Linked DNA regions of Arabidopsis thaliana. The protein of the gene in region 3 purifies or fractionates together with the protein of the main gene of each other region. This does not show direct contact. Each region holds a gene or a part of one and is shown on either strand. Other genes may lie near its edges.

Region 1 (5,485 bases), on a different chromosome or scaffold from region 3:
CAAGATCGTTGTTTCTCTTCGAACACAAAGGATACTGATGAAGATGAAGAAAGCAGTGAAGGAGAGGATGATGATGAGGAGGAGGGGGAAGACTTTGAGGATTCGGCGGATATGGAAGTAGAAAGGGAATATTCACCGGCGGAGAAAGTGGAAGAGGCGGAGGAGATAGGGTACAAGGTGATGGGTCCTCTTAAACCTTCGGAGAGACTTTTCAAACCCTATGAACCAGTGTTTGCCATTGTTCAGGTCTCGTCTCTGTGCTATCTCAATTAATCCTTTAGTTTCATTTCTCACTCTCACTGATGCTGAGTGGTTATTTTTATCCTGTAGATTGGTTCGCATCAGTTTAAAGTTAGCAATGGGGACTCCATTTTCACCGAGAAGTTGAAATTCTGTGACATCAATGATAAGGTATGCTAGCTTCAAGCTCTTCTTCGTTAATCTTTGCTATTCTTCTCTCAAAGGGCTAGACTTTACCGTATCTCTCGTAAGAAGGACGAACCTTTGCATTTGTGTTTATGATTTATGATTGTTGCTAAAACCTTTCTCTTTATGTCCCTTTGCAGTTGGAACTAACCAAGGTTCTTCTATTGGGCTCGGCAAGCCAGACGATTATTGGTAGGCCTATTTTGCCAGATGCGACAGTTCATGCTGTAGTTGAAGAGCATGTAAGTGTCTCATTGACTTGCTTGGTGTTTTATAATACTAGTGAAGCTGTGCTTAAGAATAATTTACAATTGAAAAGAGGATAGATGAGAGTTTGCTTGCTGAATCCGGTGACTGAGAGAAACTAAATCAAACTGTCTGCTGATTAGTTTGTGAAAGTCTTGCAAGTCATTAGATTAGTGTTCATCTATCTCTACATCATCTGAATGTCTTGATTTAAGATGGGCTTGGAATGTAGAAGGATCTACTCATGTACCAGCATTACTCAACTAGTTTTTCCTTGATGCGTGACAGGCTTTGGATGAAAAAGTGCTCATTTTCAAAAAGAAACGAAGAAAGAATTATAGGAGAACGAGAGGACATCGACAGGTATACTTTATAACTCCTTGTTTAGATAGACAGTGTGTTTATTTCATCTTTGCCTTCTTCTAGTTCTTTCCACTGTGTTATGATTGTTGTTTTTGACCATTCAACACTTGTGTCCAGGAATTGACGAAGTTGAGAATAACCGATATACAAGGAATTGAAAAACCAGAACCGAAGATCGTCCATAAGCCTTCGAAAGAAGCTGTTACAGAACAGACGAAGGCTGAGCTAGTTGCTTAGAGATAAAATTTGCTTCTTTCTTTTTTGCTGATGCCGATACATTTGAAGTAAGTTAAATTATCACTTGCTGTTCACTAAGAACTAGATTTTAAAGTCGTTGAAATGATGAAAAGGCCTTCTTGGTAGTTAGTGGTAAGTAACTAGGCTCCTGAGATATGAAATGTGATTTGCCTTTCACTGTCTTGTTCTCCTTGCTCTTCATTTTGTATTTAAACTGGCTCATGCTTGTGGGAGCTGTTTGTTGCTTCTGTTTCAGAAATAAAGATTTGCGGAAACATCTCTCTCCTTATCTTCTCTATGCTTTGTACTTTGTACTGTACTACTGTGGTTTGGTTATGGTTTAATTTACTTCTTCATGCAAGTCTCGGTCACAGATATGAAACTGGTGGTAAATTGGTAATAACTGCAAGTCACATTACACTCAAAATCTCGATTTTTTCCACTATGACTCTTTAGATCAGGTGATTATTATTGTAACTATATATGGCAACCACTTCCTCATCAACAAATGATTCACAGAATTGATAGTACTTGGAACTGATTTATAATTTCTTTTATCAACATCGGAAAATCGTGTAAGAATGCCTTGAAATATTTGAATGTTTGTAAATAGTATCAAAACCATTGTTTGTATAAATATGTATAAAGAACTTAAACAAAAGCAATTTGGAGCCAAAGAGAATTATAAAGCTACACGAGTACGTAAGTCCATGGTTAAGATCGGGTCGGGTGGGGACGGGTTGGATAAAAGCAAACAATGAGTCAAGTAAAAGAAGAATCATCGTCAACAAGAGAGAGAGAGAGATAAGCACAAACGCGGCTTTTCTTCTCCTTATAAATAAGAGAAGCTCAGTGCGTTACTCAAATGGCCGTCACTTTGGTAACGTCCTTCGCTTCTTCGTCTTCTCGCTTCCATTTCCGCTCATTCTCCTCTTCTCCGTCGTCTCTCTCCTCTTGTTTCGTCCGATTCCAGTTCCCCTCTCGCCTTAGACTCGCTTTTGCCGTCACGCCTCTCTACTCTTCTTCTAGAGCCATGGCTCATACAATCTCACACGCTACTCTCGGCCTCACTCAGGCTAACTCCGTCGATCATCCTAAGGTTTGTTCCTGATCGCTTGCAGCATTATTCGATTTTGCTGTTATGTGTTTAAACTCGATACTAGTGAATGCTTTGTAGATTCGTCGCTTTACTGTTTCCGATTAAGATGATCCACTGATTTGCTGACTTCGATTATGGTCAAGTCTTGTCAGAGATTAGCTTTCGAGTTTGAATTTTTGTGGTTAATTGGATTCTGATTAGTCGAATTTGCTGTATCAGATCTCATTTTCGGGGAAGGAGATCGACGTGACGGAATGGAAAGGTGATATACTCGCTGTTGGAGTGACGGAGAAAGACATGGCTAAGGATGTGAACTCCAAGTTCGAAAACCCGATTCTGAAGAAGCTTGATGCTCACTTGGGTGGACTTTTAGCTGATGTCTCGTCTGAGGAAGATTTTTCTGGGAAACCTGGTCAGTCGACAGTTCTTAGGCTTCCGGGTCTTGGGTCTAAGCGAGTTGGTTTGATTGGTCTTGGAAAATCTGCTTCAACTCCTTCGGCTTTTCAGAGTCTCGGTGAGGCTGTTGCTGCAGCTGCTAAAGCTTCTCAAGCTAGCAGTGTTGCAGTTGTTCTCGCCTCCTCTGAGAGTGTTTCTAATGAATCTAAGCTCTGTTCTGCGTCAGCTATAGCTTCAGGTGTTTTATTTGTTGTTGTTGTGGTTTCGTCTATTAAAGCTCGAGAATGGTTGTTTCATTACCATTTTGGAACTGATCGTTATGTGGAATTGTTGTTTATTTTTACAGGCACAGTGCTTGGTTTGTTTGAAGACAGCCGGTATAAGTCTGAGTCGAAGAAACCATCACTCAAATCTGTAGATATCATTGGCTTTGGCTCTGGACCTGAACTAGAGAAGAAGCTTAAGTATGCTGAACATGTTTCTTATGGCGTTATTTTCGGGAAAGAACTCGTTAATTCTCCAGCCAATGTTCTCACTCCTGGTGAGGATTGTTTCTTGAGCATCAGTCTTAGACTTTTCATTTTTTTTTTTTTTAATAATGTGAGCATCATGTCTGTTGAAGTTTATTTCAAACATTTTTCTCTAATCTGCTTTGTATCTTACAGCCGTACTAGCTGAGGAAGCCTTGAATCTGGCTTCCATGTACAGTGATGTCATGACTGCCAACATCTTGAACGAGGAGCAATGCAAAGAGTTGAAGATGGGTTCATATCTTGCTGTAGCTGCTGCTTCAGCTAATCCACCTCATTTCATACATCTTATCTACAAACCTTCTAGTGGCCCTGTTAAAACAAAACTTGCTCTTGTTGGAAAAGGATTGACATTTGACAGGTACTAGAGCTGTTGGCTTCTGTTTGCCGCATCAATCTCTTTATTTAATACTTATTAGTTATTGACCAGATGGTTTTTGTTCACAGCGGTGGCTACAACATTAAAACCGGGCCTGGCTGCTTAATTGAGCTCATGAAATTCGATATGGGAGGTTCAGCTGCTGTTCTTGGCGCTGCAAAAGCCATTGGTCAAATTAAGCCTCCAGGTGTTGAGGTAAGTTTATCACACGGAGCTTGCGTTTCTGAGTTAAATGAATGTACCTAAACAAATGCTTCGTTGCACAATCAGGTGCACTTTATTGTCGCAGCTTGTGAGAATATGATAAGTGGTACTGGAATGAGACCTGGAGATGTCCTCACAGCCTCAAACGGAAAGACGATTGAGGTATCATAACACCGTTTCCATATGAATTCAGCTTCAAAAGGTTCGAGCTTTCCATTGTTAGTTTTACGCCAAACTAATTGTGGGTGGTATTGCAGGTCAACAACACCGATGCTGAAGGTCGACTAACACTTGCAGATGCTTTAGTTTATGCTTGCAACCAGGGTGTCGATAAGGTATTGTTTCAAAGATTCTTCGACTTATTAATACATTCTTTCTGTTGGTTTTTCTCTCAAGTCTCAACTTGTGAATTACAATATTTGCAGGTTGTTGACCTTGCAACATTGACTGGGGCTTGTATTATTGCTCTTGGAACATCAATGGCAGGTACATAGTCTTGTGTTTTAAATAAGACAGAATAAAATTCTTTCGTGATGGTTGACTATTGGTTTTTCTGCAGGCATATATACACCTAGTGATAAGCTTGCAAAGGAGGTGATTGCTGCATCAGAGAGGAGTGGAGAGAAGTTATGGAGAATGCCTATGGAAGAGAGTTACTGGGAGATGATGAAGTCAGGTGTTGCAGATATGGTTAACACTGGAGGCCGTGCAGGTGGATCCATTACCGCGGCTCTTTTCTTGAAACAGGTGAGTATATCATAAGAGTGGAAACAAAAGAACACATTTCAATACTGACGCTATTGTTCTCTAACGAAGAACCGGGTTTGGTTAATGGTTGCAGTTTGTGAGCGAGGATGTTGAGTGGATGCACATAGATATGGCTGGACCAGTGTGGAACGAGAAGAAGAAAGCTGCAACTGGGTTTGGAGTTGCGACACTAGTTGAGTGGGTACAGAACCATTCTTCTTCTTAAGATGAAGTCTGGTGATCTCTGACTGATGTGAACTAGTTGTGTTTTTGCTTTGTGTGGTGGGACAAGTTTTTTTTTTTTGTGCAACTAAGTATGACAAGTTAAATCAATCAGAAGATTAGTTTTGTTGTTGTATGCTTACCTAGTCTAAACTTAAATTCAACAACCACCGTGAGAGACACAGTTGAGCCACCGTTGTTGCTGTGTCCCGTCATGTTGTTGTATTTGAATGGGTCCGTGAGTTGTTGAGAAGGAGAGATAGTCGCCGTTCATCACCACTACAGCCACCGTGTGTCACCGGAGAGTGACACCACGAGTCACAGGATGTCAACCGCTGTCACCGGAGTAGTCGTAGTCCATCGCCAAGGCCGTTAAGGGTAAGGAAACCCTAGATCTATTATGTAACTTGCTCAGGAAGTTTTTGGCTTTCTCTTATGATCTGTGCTTTGTTTTGGTTTTGATTGTTGAGCTATGAGACCTTACTGCCGTGAGCTTAAACCGCCTCATCGAGCCCCGAGCAGATCCACCGAGAGTAATCGCCGAGAAAGGTAACGGCGAACCTTATCTCCCGTGTTTGTTGTTGATTATTGAACCGGATCTTAACCAGTCTAAACCAATGACTCTTAATTTAGTTA
Region 2 (5,210 bases), on a different chromosome or scaffold from region 3:
AAACGTCGCTCTCATAAGAACATACCATGATTTCAAAGGTGTGAAACATTCCACCCTCTCATGAGCTATAAAAATCATTTATCTCCAAAGCTTCTAGATCATAACATGTTGGGCCTTTGTTCAGGTGACAAGCAGGGAACGGTCGAGTTCCTGAAGCTGATATTCAGAGCGTTATGCCTCTGCTGGGACCGACAGACGCAAGATCTACACACGGATTGGATACTTTACAGAGGTAGATCTATAGTTCCTGTAATGTGCGAGATCGTAAATGATAAGATTGACGACTTGTATCCTTCATCTCACTACCCTGTGTTTGCTGAGTTTATGCTTCCTCGTTCTGTAAGAATGCTTGAACCTACTCCTCCTGTTTCTGCTCCTGCTCAAGAGGAAAGCTAGAACACATGTCCTCACTTGCTTAAGCTTTGGACTATACTGATTGTTGTGCAAATGAGCTCTGTTTTTTTCTCGGCGCCTTTATTTATTGATTTGAGCTAAAACATATTCAAAAGAGATTTAAATAAATTGTTTTGTTTGCTCCTAATAGTTTGTGTTATTATTGATGACCACTGAAACATAAGATTGACGACTTGTATCCTTCATCTTGTGCTCCTAATAGTTTGTGTTATTAGGTAAGTGATGTTACGGAACACAAGAATATCTACAAATAGTCAAATACTTTCAAATGGGTAACTCGTCATATTCAAGCGTCACACTTCACAGTTCACACAAGCAAATAAAAACCCTTTTACCTACATTAAAACCTCTGAGAATGTTAAATAAGAACTGGGAGCACAAAGATCACCTGCCTACATCTTAAGAAGAATTGTTCTGTACCCACTCAACAAGTGTCGCAACTCCAAACCCAGTCGCAGCTTTCTTCTTCTCGTTCCACACCCGTCCAGCCATATCTATGTGCAACCACTCAACATTCTCGCTAACAAACTGCAACCATTAACCAAATCCGGTTCTTCGTTAGAGAACAATAGAATCAGTATTGAAGTGTGTTTTTTTGTTTCCACTCTTATGGTATCCTCACCCGTTTCAAAAAGAGAGCTGCGGTGATGGATCCACCTGCACGGCCTCCAAAGTTAACCATATCTGCAACACCTGACTTCATCATCTCCCAATAACTCTCTTCCATAGGCATTCTCCATAACTTCTCTCCACTCCTCTGTGATGCAGCAATTACCTCCTTGGCAAGCTCATCACTAGCTGTGTACATGCCTGCAGAAATCAAAAATCGAAACCAATATTCAATCATCACGAAAGAATGTCATTCTGTCTATTTTATACACAAGACTATGTACCTGCCATTGATGGTCCAAGAGCAACAATAATCTCCCCGGTCAATGTTGCAATGTCAACAATCTGCAAATATATATGATTCACAAGTTGAGAGAAAACCCAGCAGAAAGAATGTTATTGATAAGGGGAAGAATCTTTGAAACAATACCTTATCGACACCCTGGTTGCAAGCATAAACTAGAGCATCTGCAAGTGTTAGCCGACCTTCAGAATCGGTGTCGTTGACCTGCAACACTAACAATGGAAAGCTTGAACCTTTCGAAGCTGAATTCATATGGAAACGGTGTAATGATACCTCAATTGTCTTCCCGTTTGAGGCTGTGATGACATCTCCAGGTCTCATTCCGGTACCACTTATCATATTCTCACAAGCTGCGACAATAAAGTGCACCTAATTGTGCAAAGAAGCATTTGTTCAGGTACATTCACTTAACTCAGAAACTCAAGCTCCGTGTGATAAACTTACCTCAACACCGGGAGGCTTAATTTCACCAATGGCTTTTGCAGCGCCAAGAACAGCAGCTGAACCTCCCACATCGATTTTCATGAGCTCAATTATTAATTCAGGCCCAATTTTAATGTTGTAGCCACCGCTGTGAACAAAAACCAGATGGTCAATAACCAATAAGTATAAAAGAAAGAGATTGATGCGGCAAACAGAAGACAACAGCTCTTGCGAGTACCTGTCAAATGTCAATCCTTTTCCAACAAGAGCAAGTTTGGTTTTAACAGGGCCACTAGAAGGTTTGTAGATAAGGTGGATGAAATGAGGTGGATTAGCTGAAGCAGCAGCTACAGCAAGATATGAACCCATCTTCAATTCTTTGCATTGCTCCTCTTTCAAGATGTTTGCAGTCATGACATTACTGTACATGGAAGCCAGATTCGAGGCTTCCTCAGCTAGTACGGCTGTAAGATACAAAGCAGATTAGAGTCAAATGTTTGAAATAAACTTCAATAGACATGATGCTCACATTATAAAAAACATGAGAAGTCTAAGAGTATGATTATAATCCATACCAGGGGAGAGAACATTGGCTGGTGAATTAACAAGTTCTTTCGTGAAAATTACGCCATAAGAAACATGTTCAGCATACTTAAGCTTGTTCTCTAGTTCAGGTCCAGTGCCAAAGCCAATGAATACTACAGATTTGAGAGATGGTTTCTTTGACTCAGACTTATACCGACTGTCTTCAAACAAACCAAGCACTGTGCCTGTCAAAAGTAAAAAACGATTCCACAAAAGGATCAGTTCAAAAATGGTAATGAAACAAGCACTTCTCAAGGTTTACTAAAAGAAATCACAACCTGAAGCTATATCTGAAGCAGAACTGAGCTTAGATTCATCAGAAAAACTCTCAGAGGAGGCGAGAACAACTGCAACACTGCTAGCTTGAGAAGCTTTAGCAGCTGCAGCAACAGCCTCACCAAGACTCTGAAAAGCCGAAGGGGTTGAAGCAGATTTTCCAAGACCAATCAAACCGACCCGCTTTGAGCCGAGACCCGGAAGCCTAAGAACTGTTGACTGGCCAGGTTTCCCAGAAAAATCTTCCTCAGCCGAGACATCAGCTAGAAGTCCACCCAAGTGGGCATCAAGCTTCTTCAGTATGGGGTTCTCGAACTTGGAGTTGGCATCCTTAGCCATATCTTTCTCCGTCACTCCAACAGCGAGTATATCACCTTTCCATTCAGTCACGTCAATCTCCTTCCCGGAAAATGAGATCTGATACAGAAAACTCGAGTAATCAGAATCCAGTTAAGCATCTGGAAAGCTAATCTCTGACAAGACTTGACCATAATCGAAGTAAGCAAATCAGTGGATCATCTTAATCGGAAACAGTAAAGCGACGAATCTACAAAGCATTCACTAGTATCGAGTTTAAACACATAACAGCAAAGTCAAACCTTAGGATGATCGACGGAGTTGGCCTGAGTAAGGCCAAGAGTAGCGTGTGCGATTGTATGAGCCGTGGCTTTAGAAGAGCAGTAGAGAGGCGTGATGGCGAAAGAGACTCTAAGGCGAGACAGCAACTGGAATCGTACGAAACAAGAGGAGAGAGACGACGGAGAAGAGGAGAAAGAGCGGAAATGGAAGCGAGAAGAAGAAGCACATGACGTTACCAAAGTGACCGCCATTTGAGAAGTCTCCACTGAGCTTAGCTTCTTTATATTTATTTATAAGGAGAAGAACAGAGTGGCTGATGCAGACATATATATATATATATATATATATAGTATGAAATTAGAGTTATCTTAGAAAATTAGAGTGGCCCAGTCTCTTCTTGCGTCCGCCCGCGTCCGACCGTCGTGTCTTGTTGACGATGATTATTCTTTTACTTGACTCACTCACTATTGCTATTATCCGACCCGATCTTAACAATCTTGATTAGCTGTAGACTTCTTTTCAAATTTTAATGTGATCATGTTTCACTATTACTAAACTTATCTTGATAACCATATCTGAAATACTTACTACTGTTATTTGTTGCCTTCAAATTTAAAGTTGTTTATACAAAACATAGTTTTGATACTATTTATAGAAATTCAAATATTTCAAGGCATTCTTACACGAAGTGATAAAAGAAATTGAAAAACACGTCAGTATTATCACTTTTGTAACTCATTTGTGGATCAATAGGTGAAATCCAATTAAAAATACATGATTTAATCTAATAACCAAACCAAATTTAGAAATCTCGATTAATTGATTTGGTATTCTTCCAATTAAATTAATTAGACTTGGTTTAATAATTAAACCAAACCAAATTCTTATAATCTAGTTACACCACACAGACGTAATAATACACCAACAACGCAAATTGTCATTGGTTTCGGTTCTGGTCTTAACTAAATTAAGAGTCATTGGTTTAGACTGGTTAAGATCCGGTTCAATAATCAACAACAAACACGGGAGATAAGGTTCGCCGTTACCTTTCTCGGCGATTACTCTCGGTGGATCTGCTCGGGGCTCGATGAGGCGGTTTAAGCTCACGGCAGTAAGGTCTCATAGCTCAACAATCAAAACCAAAACAAAGCACAGATCATAAGAGAAAGCCAAAAACTTCCTGAGCAAGTTACATAATAGATCTAGGGTTTCCTTACCCTTAACGGCCTTGGCGATGGACTACGACTACTCCGGTGACAGCGGTTGACATCCTGTGACTCGTGGTGTCACTCTCCGGTGACACACGGTGGCTGTAGTGGTGATGAACGGCGACTATCTCTCCTTCTCAACAACTCACGGACCCATTCAAATACAACAACATGACGGGACACAGCAACAACGGTGGCTCAACTGTGTCTCTCACGGTGGTTGTTGAATTTAAGTTTAGACTAGGTAAGCATACAACAACAAAACTAATCTTCTGATTGATTTAACTTGTCATACTTAGTTGCACAAAAAAAAAAAACTTGTCCCACCACACAAAGCAAAAACACAACTAGTTCACATCAGTCAGAGATCACCAGACTTCATCTTAAGAAGAAGAATGGTTCTGTACCCACTCAACTAGTGTCGCAACTCCAAACCCAGTTGCAGCTTTCTTCTTCTCGTTCCACACTGGTCCAGCCATATCTATGTGCATCCACTCAACATCCTCGCTCACAAACTGCAACCATTAACCAAACCCGGTTCTTCGTTAGAGAACAATAGCGTCAGTATTGAAATGTGTTCTTTTGTTTCCACTCTTATGATATACTCACCTGTTTCAAGAAAAGAGCCGCGGTAATGGATCCACCTGCACGGCCTCCAGTGTTAACCATATCTGCAACACCTGACTTCATCATCTCCCAGTAACTCTCTTCCATAGGCATTCTCCATAACTTCTCTCCACTCCTCTCTGATGCAGCAATCACCTCCTTTGCAAGCTTATCACTAGGTGTATATATGCCTGCAGAAAAACCAA
Region 3 (4,415 bases):
TTACAAGCTTTTGCCACTCGCTCGATTCCTTCCTCAGCCAAAGTAAGCCCCACTTCTTAACACATCATTGGTCAATATATAAGTTTCTTTTCCTGAACTTGAAATAACATTAGTGAGCTCGTTTAACTTTAGCAATTAGCTTTTTCCTCTTAACAATCGAGACTTTAGATACACTATTAGTTGAGAGTTGTTAATTGTATCAAACTCCATCTAACTGCGTGTCTTTGTTCTTCCAGGGGTCAGTCAACGGGTGGACGTGGAGGTGCAGGTCGTGGAAGAGGTGATAGTAGAGGTCGTGGAAGAGGTGGATCATTTAGTAGAGGTAGAGGTGCTCCAAGAGGTGGTAGATTTCCACCACGCGGTGGCTCTCGTGGAAGCTTTAGAGGCCGAGGAAGATTTTAGGTTCTTCTCCTGCTTTATAAGCCTTATCCAAACTTGTACCCTTTGTTTTATGAATGACTATCGTTCTCCCGTATTCTCAATTTTCAAGACTTTGGTTTTATCTATGGAGTAAAAATATTTGCATCAAATTAGATTCGTTGATAGAAAATTTGAGAAGGTTAAACTGCAATTAGCACATAGTTTTTATTACTCTAGAATTGACTCAAATCACAAAGCAAATCAACAACATAGAAAGATTTTCTGAATTCTTGTTCTTTAGCTTCCCATGGGGGGGTATCAAGAACCCCAGCCTCTGATAGTGGTAGCTTGAGCGACACGATTAATACCGAGGGTGAAAGCTCCCATACGGAGATCACATGAGTGCGTCTGACACATTTCTTTCAAGTCTTTGAACCCGCGAGTCATGTAGGTCTTTAGCTCCCTATTCACCTTTTCCTCATCCCACATGAATCCTTGTATGTTCTTCACACAGATATAACACAAATCAGTGTTTTGATCGAGTGGCTTTAGATTCGATTAGGTCATACAGTCTTGATTTTCGAGTCTTACCTGAACCCACTCGAAGTAACTTACAGTGACTCCTCCTGAGTTTGCGTATATATCTGGGAGGATCATAACACCTTTCTTCTTCAAGATCTGCGGAGACAGATATTACAGAGTTTCTGTTACGCGAGTTTGAGAAGAAGAAAGAGCAAAAACAAAGTATCAGATTTTCGAATAACCTCGTCAGCCTCAGGATCAGTTGGGTGATTAGCACCTTCAATGATGAATTTGGCTTTTATTTCGTTTGCATTTTCCCTAAAACAGACCAAAGCCAGAGGTTTAGAGGAAATCATGATAGAGAATAGATTAATATTTTTGAGACAAGAAACTATAAAAGACCTGTTGATGACTCCCCCTAGAGCTGCAGGGACAAGAATATCACAATCTTCGACAAGAATCGAATCAGGATCGATTGAATCAGCACCATCAAACCCTTTGATTCCTCTGTTTTCTTCAGCATGCTCGAGCAAACTCAAGATGTCAATTCCATTATTGTTCTTGATTGCTCCTGTGACATCACTCACCGCCACAATCTTACCACCTTTGTCACTTATCAACTTCGCTGCCCAAGAACCCACATTTCCAAAGCCCTAAAACGCAGAGACAGTATGAGTACCCTGACACCGAAGTAATCTCTCTGACTAAACATTGTAACTTCTTTTACCTGGATGGCGAATCGCTGTCCAGATATGGTCTTTCCATGTTCGTTGAGTAAAGCTTCTGTTGCAAACAACACTCCTCTTCCTGTAGCAGCATCTCTCCCAAGAGATCCACCAAGATCCTGCTCAAAACATCATCCTCAAAAATCAAATCTCATTCAGTTTTAGATTAGTTGAACACATAAACCGAACCAACCTAAAACCGCGATTAGAACGGTCACTTACAATGGGTTTTCCAGTGACAACAGCAGGAGAATGTCCATGGAATTTTGAGTATTCATCAAGAATCCAAGCCATTGTCTGAAAATTTTCATCACTATATTTCAGACAAGAACAACACGTAAAATACAAGATGAAGACTTCAAGATCATGTTTTCGAAACCTGAGGACCGGTTCCCATATCAGGAGCTGGAACATCAGTATGAATCCCAATAAGATCGTGAATCTTCTGAGTGAAAACTCGAGTCAAACGTTCGAGCTCTGAGAGACTTAGCTCGCTCGGGTCACAACCGATTCCTCCTTTGGCTCCTCCATAAGGTATCTTAGCCACTGCTGTTTTCCATGTCATAAGTTGAGCCAAAGCGTTTACTTCATCCGGTTCAACCTGTCGATTACCGAAATCTGGTTTACTTCATGCCAATATTGAATTTGTTTTGGTTTGATGAAAAAAAAACAGAGTAAAACAAACCTCTGGATGATATCTGATTCCACCTTTCATGGGACCTCTTGCATTGTCGTGTTGAACTCTGAATCCAACAAAGGATGCTAGAGTTCCATCGTCTTTTGGTATGGTACATTCCACCTGCAATAGTTGGTTAGTTCCGTTCAAATGATCTTGAACCGGATCGGTTCTGCAGATCTGTTATAGATGGAAGAAGAAAACAGAGGAAAACATCGAACCTTGATCTCTCTGAAGGGAATGAGAAGACTTTTCTCGAGCTTTGAGTCTAAACCAAGAAGCCTAGAAGCAAGCTTGAAGTTTCTGTTGGTTGCTGCTAAAGCATTCATGGCTTTCTTCTCTCTTCTTTATTTTGGGTTTATTTGATCAGAGAGTCTGATATGAAGACAGTTGGAAAAATGTGAGTCTTGCTTATGTTATTGCAAGTTTATTTATATAGAGTGATACGTACACACTTCGTGTTATGGAATATGAGAATGAAAATTTTGTTATTTATATTTATAATAAAAGATAATTTATATAAGGAATATGAATAATCATATAAGATGATACCCATAATTGATCCTGATTTTGAGTATTCAGAATACTATGTGTCTGTTTAGCAAAGTTCTCACACAAAAAAAATATATAGATTATAGAAATAGCCCATGTCTTCACCATGTGTATAAACTAGATCAGAATAATGGAATATTCATTAATGAAAAGGAAATCCGTAGACTAATCAAGCAGAATAAATATATTCTTTTCATTACAAAAAGATCAGAATAAAAATAGGAAAAATCAAGATTTCACAAGATTATAAATATTACATGGATGAAAGAGATAGCTCGTAAAATTTATCTTATTGTGTCACACACTGTCATTTTATTCATTTTAAATCTAGATTAAAGGAAAAAATAACATTTCGTATTACCTAATTAGTACCCACCTAATAAGCAAGGACCAAGATATTGTTTTTCAGAATTTGTTTTTTTTTTTAAATAAGAAAATATGATACAATAATGATCTAGCAATAGCATGCATTGGACCGGATGACTATACTCGTGCATGAAAAATCATAGTCAAATTGTAATACGTTAATGTGGGACGATAATAATACTTTTTTTTTGTTTTATTATCTACGATTATATATATATTAATAATCATTTACATATTTGTGATATACGACCCGAAATGAATCTTGCATGTCATAAGATCTTTACGTGTTATTAACTTATTCAATTCTACTTGCCCCTACACATATAGGCATAGCGTATACACTTTTGTGAGAGGGTGACAAAAAAAAACGTATACACTTTAGTGAGCTAGTGGGAAAAAAACGTATAAACTTATCACACACATACAATATTCAGTTTTAATTGAAAAGATTCTACGGATATATGTTTTTTTAGATACTCAAATCAGAATCTTTTTGGAATTAGAGGAGGACACGAGAGGATGCAACAAATCAAGAAACATATAGAATTACAAGATTCCACCATGAAAGAATCTTTTTGGAAAAGAGATTCCCCATGATTTATGCTTCCACTAATATAATTGATTTATTGTGGATTTCCACCAAGATTTCTTTCTCTTTCAATTTCCAAAAGAAGATATCAATTTCGTAATAACAACATTGACCGTAAATAGTGTTTCCAAATTTGATCTCACCCTCTTTGGTCAAACCAATATATAGAAATAATACCCCAATAAAGAATCCGGTTCATGGTAGGCTTGGTAGCTAATGTCAAGGATTTAGTATTTTTAAAACGTTATGCATTAGCTTTCTATCACTTTTTAATACATGAAAAAAAAAAAAAAAAAAAAAACCAATTGGACTTTCTCCTAAAAGGCCATTCCCTAATAAACAACAAACTACGAAAAGCTAAACATGTATTTAAAATATTAAAGTGATAGAAAGCTAATGCATAACAATTAAATGAAGCAATTTTTTTATATTCTTTGGTCAAACCAATATATATACAGAAATAATACCCCATTAAAGAATACTGTTCATGGTAGCTAATGTCAAGGATTTAGTATTTTTAAAACGTTATGCATTAGCTTTCTATCACTTTTTAATAAATGAAAAATAATAACTCAAACAAATATAAAAGGCCATTCCCTCTACGAAAAGCAAAACATGTATTTAG
Region 4 (5,156 bases), on a different chromosome or scaffold from region 3:
TCAATTTTACTTTATCATCGCAGTTTGAATTTACGATTTGCTCATTATATATGAAAACTAAAACTGAATCATTGTAATAATATCTCTTCATTTTTGGCTTTTGTAATAATTATTCCGGTATGGACATACAGTTCTTTTTCAATTTGGATTGGTTCCTCTAGATACGTAAGCAATAAACTGGCATAACAGAAATGATTTGTTAATTGTTGCTTCTTTTTTTTCTGTTTTGAAAGAAATAGGAAACAGGGTTTGGGATCAAAAGATCTTCAACAATGTGAAGGTTCGTGTACTTCCCAGTGCTTCAAGGCGTGGACCTGGGCAAACCGGTTAGAAAATCAGTACTAAGGAACAAAAGGAGTATTAAGTAGAATAGTTACTTCAAAATATTATCAAAAAAATATTTTATTTTATGATAGATAAAAGTCATGTTTTGTAACCACTCATATGCTGTTTTTTTTTCAAAAGATGTTCAATTATTGCATTTGACATTATGGTTCATAAAATTTGAAGTGGTTACCGAAAAAAGTAATGAAAAGGAGAACCCAATGTTGAAGACTTCAAAAGTAGAAATTTCAGACAGTATTTTTGCACGACTAAAACAAAGTACCACTTTATTCAACTTTTGACGATTTTACTTTTCATAACAAGTTAAGAACATCTGAAAACATAGTAACTTTTGAGACCTTATTAAAAACCAGCAATCATTTCAACACCCGAAAAACTCTACAGTCTCTCCCTCACGCTCTCTAGGTTTCATTCACGAAGATGAATTCTTCTGTACCCATTCAACAAGCGTAGCAACACCAAACCCGGTCCCAGACTTCTTCTTCTCGTTCCACACCGGTCCAGCCATGTCGATATGCATCCATTGCACCTTCTCACTCACAAACTGCCATACCACAGAAAATAGAGGATGGTTTAGTTACTTTCACCGACGAATTTTTTGTCAAAAACATGTATGTATAGCCTCTAAAGGGACTTTGTTTTCACCTGTTTCAAGAAGAGAGCCGCGGTGATGGATCCTCCTGCCCGCCCGCCTGTGTTGACCATATCAGCCACTCCAGACTTCATCATCTCCCAATAGCTCTCTTCCAGTGGCATCCTCCACAGCTTCTCTCCACTCCTTTCTGATGCAGCAATCACTTCCTTTGCAAGCTCGTCGCTAGGTGTATAGATTCCTATCAAGTAATGAACACAGAATGATCATCATGAGCCAATTTTGGACTCAAAAACGACACAAAGATTGAGTTTTTCTGCAGGGTTTTTGAGCTGTGTACCTGCCATTGAAGTTCCAAGAGCAATAACACAGGCCCCGGTCAAAGTAGCGAGGTCAACAATCTGCAAGATATTTGACAATGTTTAACTGAAAGGATAAATTTAACAGAAACAAGCTCCTTTAGCTTCTCATATCAATAAAGTAATGCAATACCTTGTCGACGCCTTGGTTACAAGCATACACTAGAGCATCTGCGAGTGTTAGACGACCTTCAGCATCTGTGTTGTTGACCTACACACACCATCGCCAACAATTAGCATTTCATAGGAAAAACAGTAAAAGCTCAACTCTGAGGGGGAAAAAATCATCAGATACCTCAATGGTCTTTCCGTTTGAGGCAGTGATGACATCTCCAGGTCTCATTCCGGTTCCACTAATCATATTTTCACAGGCTGCAACGATGAAATGAACCTGGTTGTGGAAGACGAATCTGTTCAGTTCGGTTAACAAACTATAGCTTTCAAAAGAATCTGATGGGAGAAACTAACCTCAACACCAGGAGGCTTAATCTCACCAATAGCTTTCGCAGCGCCAAGAACAGCAGCTGAACCGCCCATGTCGAATTTCATGAGCTCAATTGAGCAGCCAGGTCCAGTCTTAATGTTGTAGCCACCACTGTGTACACAAGATATTCAAATCAACAACCACTAAAATAACAAAGAAAAGATACCAGCTCGTAACAGAGTAAAATTCAAAGCAATACAGAATGATTAGTTACCTGTCAAAGGTCAATCCTTTTCCAACAAGAGCAAGTTTGGTCTTAACAGAGCCATTCGGAGGTTTATAGACAAGGTGGATGAAGTGAGGAGGATTAGCCGACGCAGCAGCAACAGCTAGGTAAGAACCCATCTTCAACTCTTTGCATTGCTCTTCGTTCAAGATGTTTGCAGTGAAGACATCACTGTACGTAGAAGCCACCTTTGCTGCTTCCTCAGCTAGTACAGCTGAAACGATACAAAAATCAAAGCAGTTTAGGAAAACTCAGCGAACACCACACAAACACGAAAATATTTGATTTCATAAATGACAACAATTCATACCAGGAGTAAGCACATTGGCAGGAGAATTAATGAGCTCTCTCCCGAAAATTACACCGTAAGAAACATCTTCAGCATACTTCAGCTTCTTTTCTACCTCAGCCCCAGTTCCAAATCCAATAATATCAACAGCTTTCAAAGATGGTTTCTTTGATTCAGACTTATACCTACCATCTTCAAATAAACCAAGTACTATGCCTATCCAAAAATAAACAATGAGACCCCAAATCAGTTCCAATTTCCAAAACAGTACTAAACAAGACTCGAACTTGTGTTATACTAATTGAAGTTACCTGAAGCTAAAGCTGATACAGAACTAAGCTTAGATTCATCAGAAACACTTGAAGCAAGCACAATAGCAGCACTAGTAGATTGAGAAGCTTTTGAAACTGTAGCTACAGCTTCACCAAGGCTATGAAAAGCCACCGGAGACGAAACAGACTGTCCAAGACCGATCAAAGCGATTCTCTTTGATCCTAAACCCGGAAGCCTGAGAACAGTCGATTGACCAGGTTTCCCAGTGAAATCTTCCTCGGAAGAGACTTGAGCTAAAAGTCCACTTAAGTGAGCATCGACCTTGCTCAAGATCGGATTCTCAAACTTTGAGTTACCGTCTTTGGCTAAGTCCTTCTCTGTCACACCAACTACGAGTATGTCTCCTTTCCATTCAATTACATCGATCTCCTTCGCAGTGAACGAGATCTGCATAATCGTCACCAAAAGATCAAAACTTCAAACTCGAATCAATCAAAAAATCAAAACTTTGAACTAAATCAAAACTGGATTCCATACAAAATCATTTCAAAATCACAGTGAAGGAAACAAACCTTGTGAGGCTCAGTGGAGTTGGGTTGAGTGAGACCGAGAGTGTGAGCCATGGTTATTGCTATTGAAGAGAGGTGTTGTGTGATTGAACTCTGAAAAGGAAGACGAAAGAGTAAACAATGAAAAGTTAGGATTGGTCTTTCAAAGGCGTATATATAGAAGGAGAAGTTAGGTGTGATTTACACATGTGTGATGTGTGTTAGTGAGTAGCTCAATTAGGCTTGAACATTCGGACTTCGGATTGGATTTTATTACGATAATTCGGGTTTTGGATTTGTAGGGTAAAATAGGGTTTTGGATTTTTTAGACATTCGGACTTTGAATCGGATTTTATTAGGGTAATTCGGGTTTTGGATTTGTAGGGTAAGACATGGTTTTGGATTTTTTAGATAGGGAGATTTCGGAAGGTACTGAATATGTTTCGATCGGTTCGTTTTGGATTTATACGGGTTCGGAATGGTTCTCGAAAAAAAAAAAATGCGACCATAGAATCGAAATATGTTCTGATTCGATTTTTGAATCGAAAAACTCCAAAAACCTAAACGATGTATATAGAAAAACGCTCCAAATGATCCTTAAAATCCAAAAATATGTGTATATATTGTTTTGTGTTTTTTGGGTTTACGTTTGGATTTTATTTTTTGGTATAATGGTTGGGTTGTAGGTGTTTTTGAGTATCCGTTTGGGTTTCAATTTTTTTTTAATGTTCGGATTTCAGATTTTACCAGTATATAACCGAAAATCGAAACATATAATTTAAGATCTGTTAGGATAATAACAACTTTTTGATTTGGAAATTTTTTTGGGCGAATTTCTTAAGAGAAGGTCGAAATAATAAAAGACAAAATTATAGTAGAAGTTGTTATTTTCAGCAACCTTATCAAACATATCTCTATGAGATATGCAAAAGTTTTAGCTTCAGTCGTGTTGAAGTGTTCTAGGTGGAATGGTTTAAATGGGTGAAAGGGCATCGATCATGCTATCGAGCTAGTCACTTCTGACTCTGATTTTGGGCACTGTTTCGTCGATCGTTGGTCATTTTGTGCCGCCTTTGATATCTGATCAAGTATCCACAAATCCGTCCACACCAATATTTTGAAGGTAAACCCCATTTCCTAATATCAAAAATACTATTCGCCGTCCGGAACATTGACAAGTACACGGCGTACCAGTCAAACATGGAGCCTAATCAATTCAACTATTTTTTCTATTTTGTTTTGTCGACAATGGTCTAATTGATACATGAGAAATTAGGCTGTATGACCATAAAAATTTAATAATTCAATAACTAACTTAAAAAAAGTTGACTACATGATTATGTGTATAACATGTAATATATACTAATCTACCCATTTGTTCACATGTCATATGTATCTTTTGATTCTTTTTCTGAATTTTGTCTTCTTTTTTTCTTTTGTATTTTGAAGTATGATCATTTTTAATTGTGTTTATGTTAAAATTTTAATAATATTATTGTTACTAATAAAATTTCACATTATGACTTTTACTATTTTAAAATCATTTTTTATTTTATTAGTTTTTTGTTAATAATTAATATTAATAGAAATAAATATTTATTAAATGAACATTGTAATTATAATTTAGTGTTAAAAAAAAAAAATGGTGACATGGCTTTGTTTGATTGGATGTTTACCATGATGATATGTACACATTAAGAGAACAGAAAACTCTTCCATAATATATATTAGTTAATAACACTAAGAATGGTGAGAGTGATATTAACATGGACATGGTTCCATTTTCATAATGCGTTTTTTGAAAGACAATCGTTACATTTTCAACTCTTTTTCAATGTTGGAAACCGCAAATTAATTACCAAATAGGCAAATAAATACTCGAACGAGTTTCATTAAAGATAATTAAAGCCAGTTCTTCATTTCTTTCATATAAATCAGACAATAATCCCATGTTATTTTCATCACCCAGTTACAAACTTGAAAAAGAATCACACATCAGAATATTTTAATTTTTCTTTTGTTTTGCCATAAGAATATATA

What was found.
Region 1: the proteins of GDH3 (region 3) and LAP2 fractionate together in Arabidopsis thaliana (co-fractionation; one large-scale study listed by BioGRID). This does not show direct contact.
Region 2: the proteins of GDH3 (region 3) and AT4G30910 fractionate together in Arabidopsis thaliana (co-fractionation; one large-scale study listed by BioGRID). This does not show direct contact.
Region 4: the proteins of GDH3 (region 3) and LAP1 fractionate together in Arabidopsis thaliana (co-fractionation; one large-scale study listed by BioGRID). This does not show direct contact.

Annotation. Positions count from the first base shown.
Region 1 is NC_003075.7:15,045,957-15,051,441, reverse strand, and holds LAP2 (Cytosol aminopeptidase family protein), read left to right. Parts: upstream 1-2,003; 5' UTR 2,004-2,137; coding exon 2,138-2,371; intron 2,372-2,590; coding exon 2,591-3,005; intron 3,006-3,113; coding exon 3,114-3,308; intron 3,309-3,432; coding exon 3,433-3,658; intron 3,659-3,744; coding exon 3,745-3,871; intron 3,872-3,946; coding exon 3,947-4,042; intron 4,043-4,137; coding exon 4,138-4,215; intron 4,216-4,305; coding exon 4,306-4,366; intron 4,367-4,439; coding exon 4,440-4,627; intron 4,628-4,721; coding exon 4,722-4,853; 3' UTR 4,854-4,985; downstream 4,986-5,485. Other genes in the region: NFD1 (Ribosomal protein L21), read left to right, coding at 1-246, 331-411, 567-668, 961-1,035, 1,153-1,272. UniProt on the Arabidopsis thaliana protein: Presumably involved in the processing and regular turnover of intracellular proteins. Catalyzes the removal of unsubstituted N-terminal amino acids from various peptides.
Region 2 is NC_003075.7:15,041,808-15,047,017, forward strand, and holds AT4G30910 (Cytosol aminopeptidase family protein), read right to left. Parts: upstream 3,538-5,210; 5' UTR 3,442-3,537; coding exon 3,211-3,441; intron 3,029-3,210; coding exon 2,614-3,028; intron 2,521-2,613; coding exon 2,326-2,520; intron 2,215-2,325; coding exon 1,989-2,214; intron 1,899-1,988; coding exon 1,772-1,898; intron 1,697-1,771; coding exon 1,454-1,696; intron 1,369-1,453; coding exon 1,308-1,368; intron 1,225-1,307; coding exon 1,037-1,224; intron 943-1,036; coding exon 814-942; 3' UTR 550-813; downstream 1-549. Other genes in the region: AT4G30900 (DNAse I-like superfamily protein), read left to right, coding at 1-38, 125-396; LAP2 (Cytosol aminopeptidase family protein), read right to left, coding at 4,782-4,913, 5,008-5,195. UniProt on the Arabidopsis thaliana protein: Presumably involved in the processing and regular turnover of intracellular proteins. Catalyzes the removal of unsubstituted N-terminal amino acids from various peptides. Possesses Cys-Gly dipeptidase activity.
Region 3 is NC_003074.8:1,005,110-1,009,524, reverse strand, and holds GDH3 (glutamate dehydrogenase 3), read right to left. Parts: upstream 2,746-4,415; 5' UTR 2,613-2,745; coding exon 2,505-2,612; intron 2,407-2,504; coding exon 2,293-2,406; intron 2,209-2,292; coding exon 1,987-2,208; intron 1,905-1,986; coding exon 1,830-1,904; intron 1,727-1,829; coding exon 1,610-1,726; intron 1,536-1,609; coding exon 1,285-1,535; intron 1,201-1,284; coding exon 1,125-1,200; intron 1,039-1,124; coding exon 952-1,038; coding exon of another isoform or gene 919-951; intron 865-918; coding exon 679-864; 3' UTR 507-678; downstream 1-506. Other genes in the region: AT3G03920 (H/ACA ribonucleoprotein complex, subunit Gar1/Naf1 protein), read left to right, coding at 1-42, 237-402.
Region 4 is NC_003071.7:10,286,260-10,291,415, forward strand, and holds LAP1 (Cytosol aminopeptidase family protein), read right to left. Parts: upstream 3,427-5,156; 5' UTR 3,192-3,426; coding exon 3,141-3,191; intron 3,016-3,140; coding exon 2,607-3,015; intron 2,512-2,606; coding exon 2,317-2,511; intron 2,221-2,316; coding exon 1,995-2,220; intron 1,892-1,994; coding exon 1,765-1,891; intron 1,688-1,764; coding exon 1,592-1,687; intron 1,508-1,591; coding exon 1,430-1,507; intron 1,339-1,429; coding exon 1,278-1,338; intron 1,179-1,277; coding exon 991-1,178; intron 890-990; coding exon 758-889; 3' UTR 547-757; downstream 1-546. Other genes in the region: AT2G24195 (uncharacterized protein), read left to right, coding at 234-331. UniProt on the Arabidopsis thaliana protein: Presumably involved in the processing and regular turnover of intracellular proteins. Catalyzes the removal of unsubstituted N-terminal amino acids from various peptides.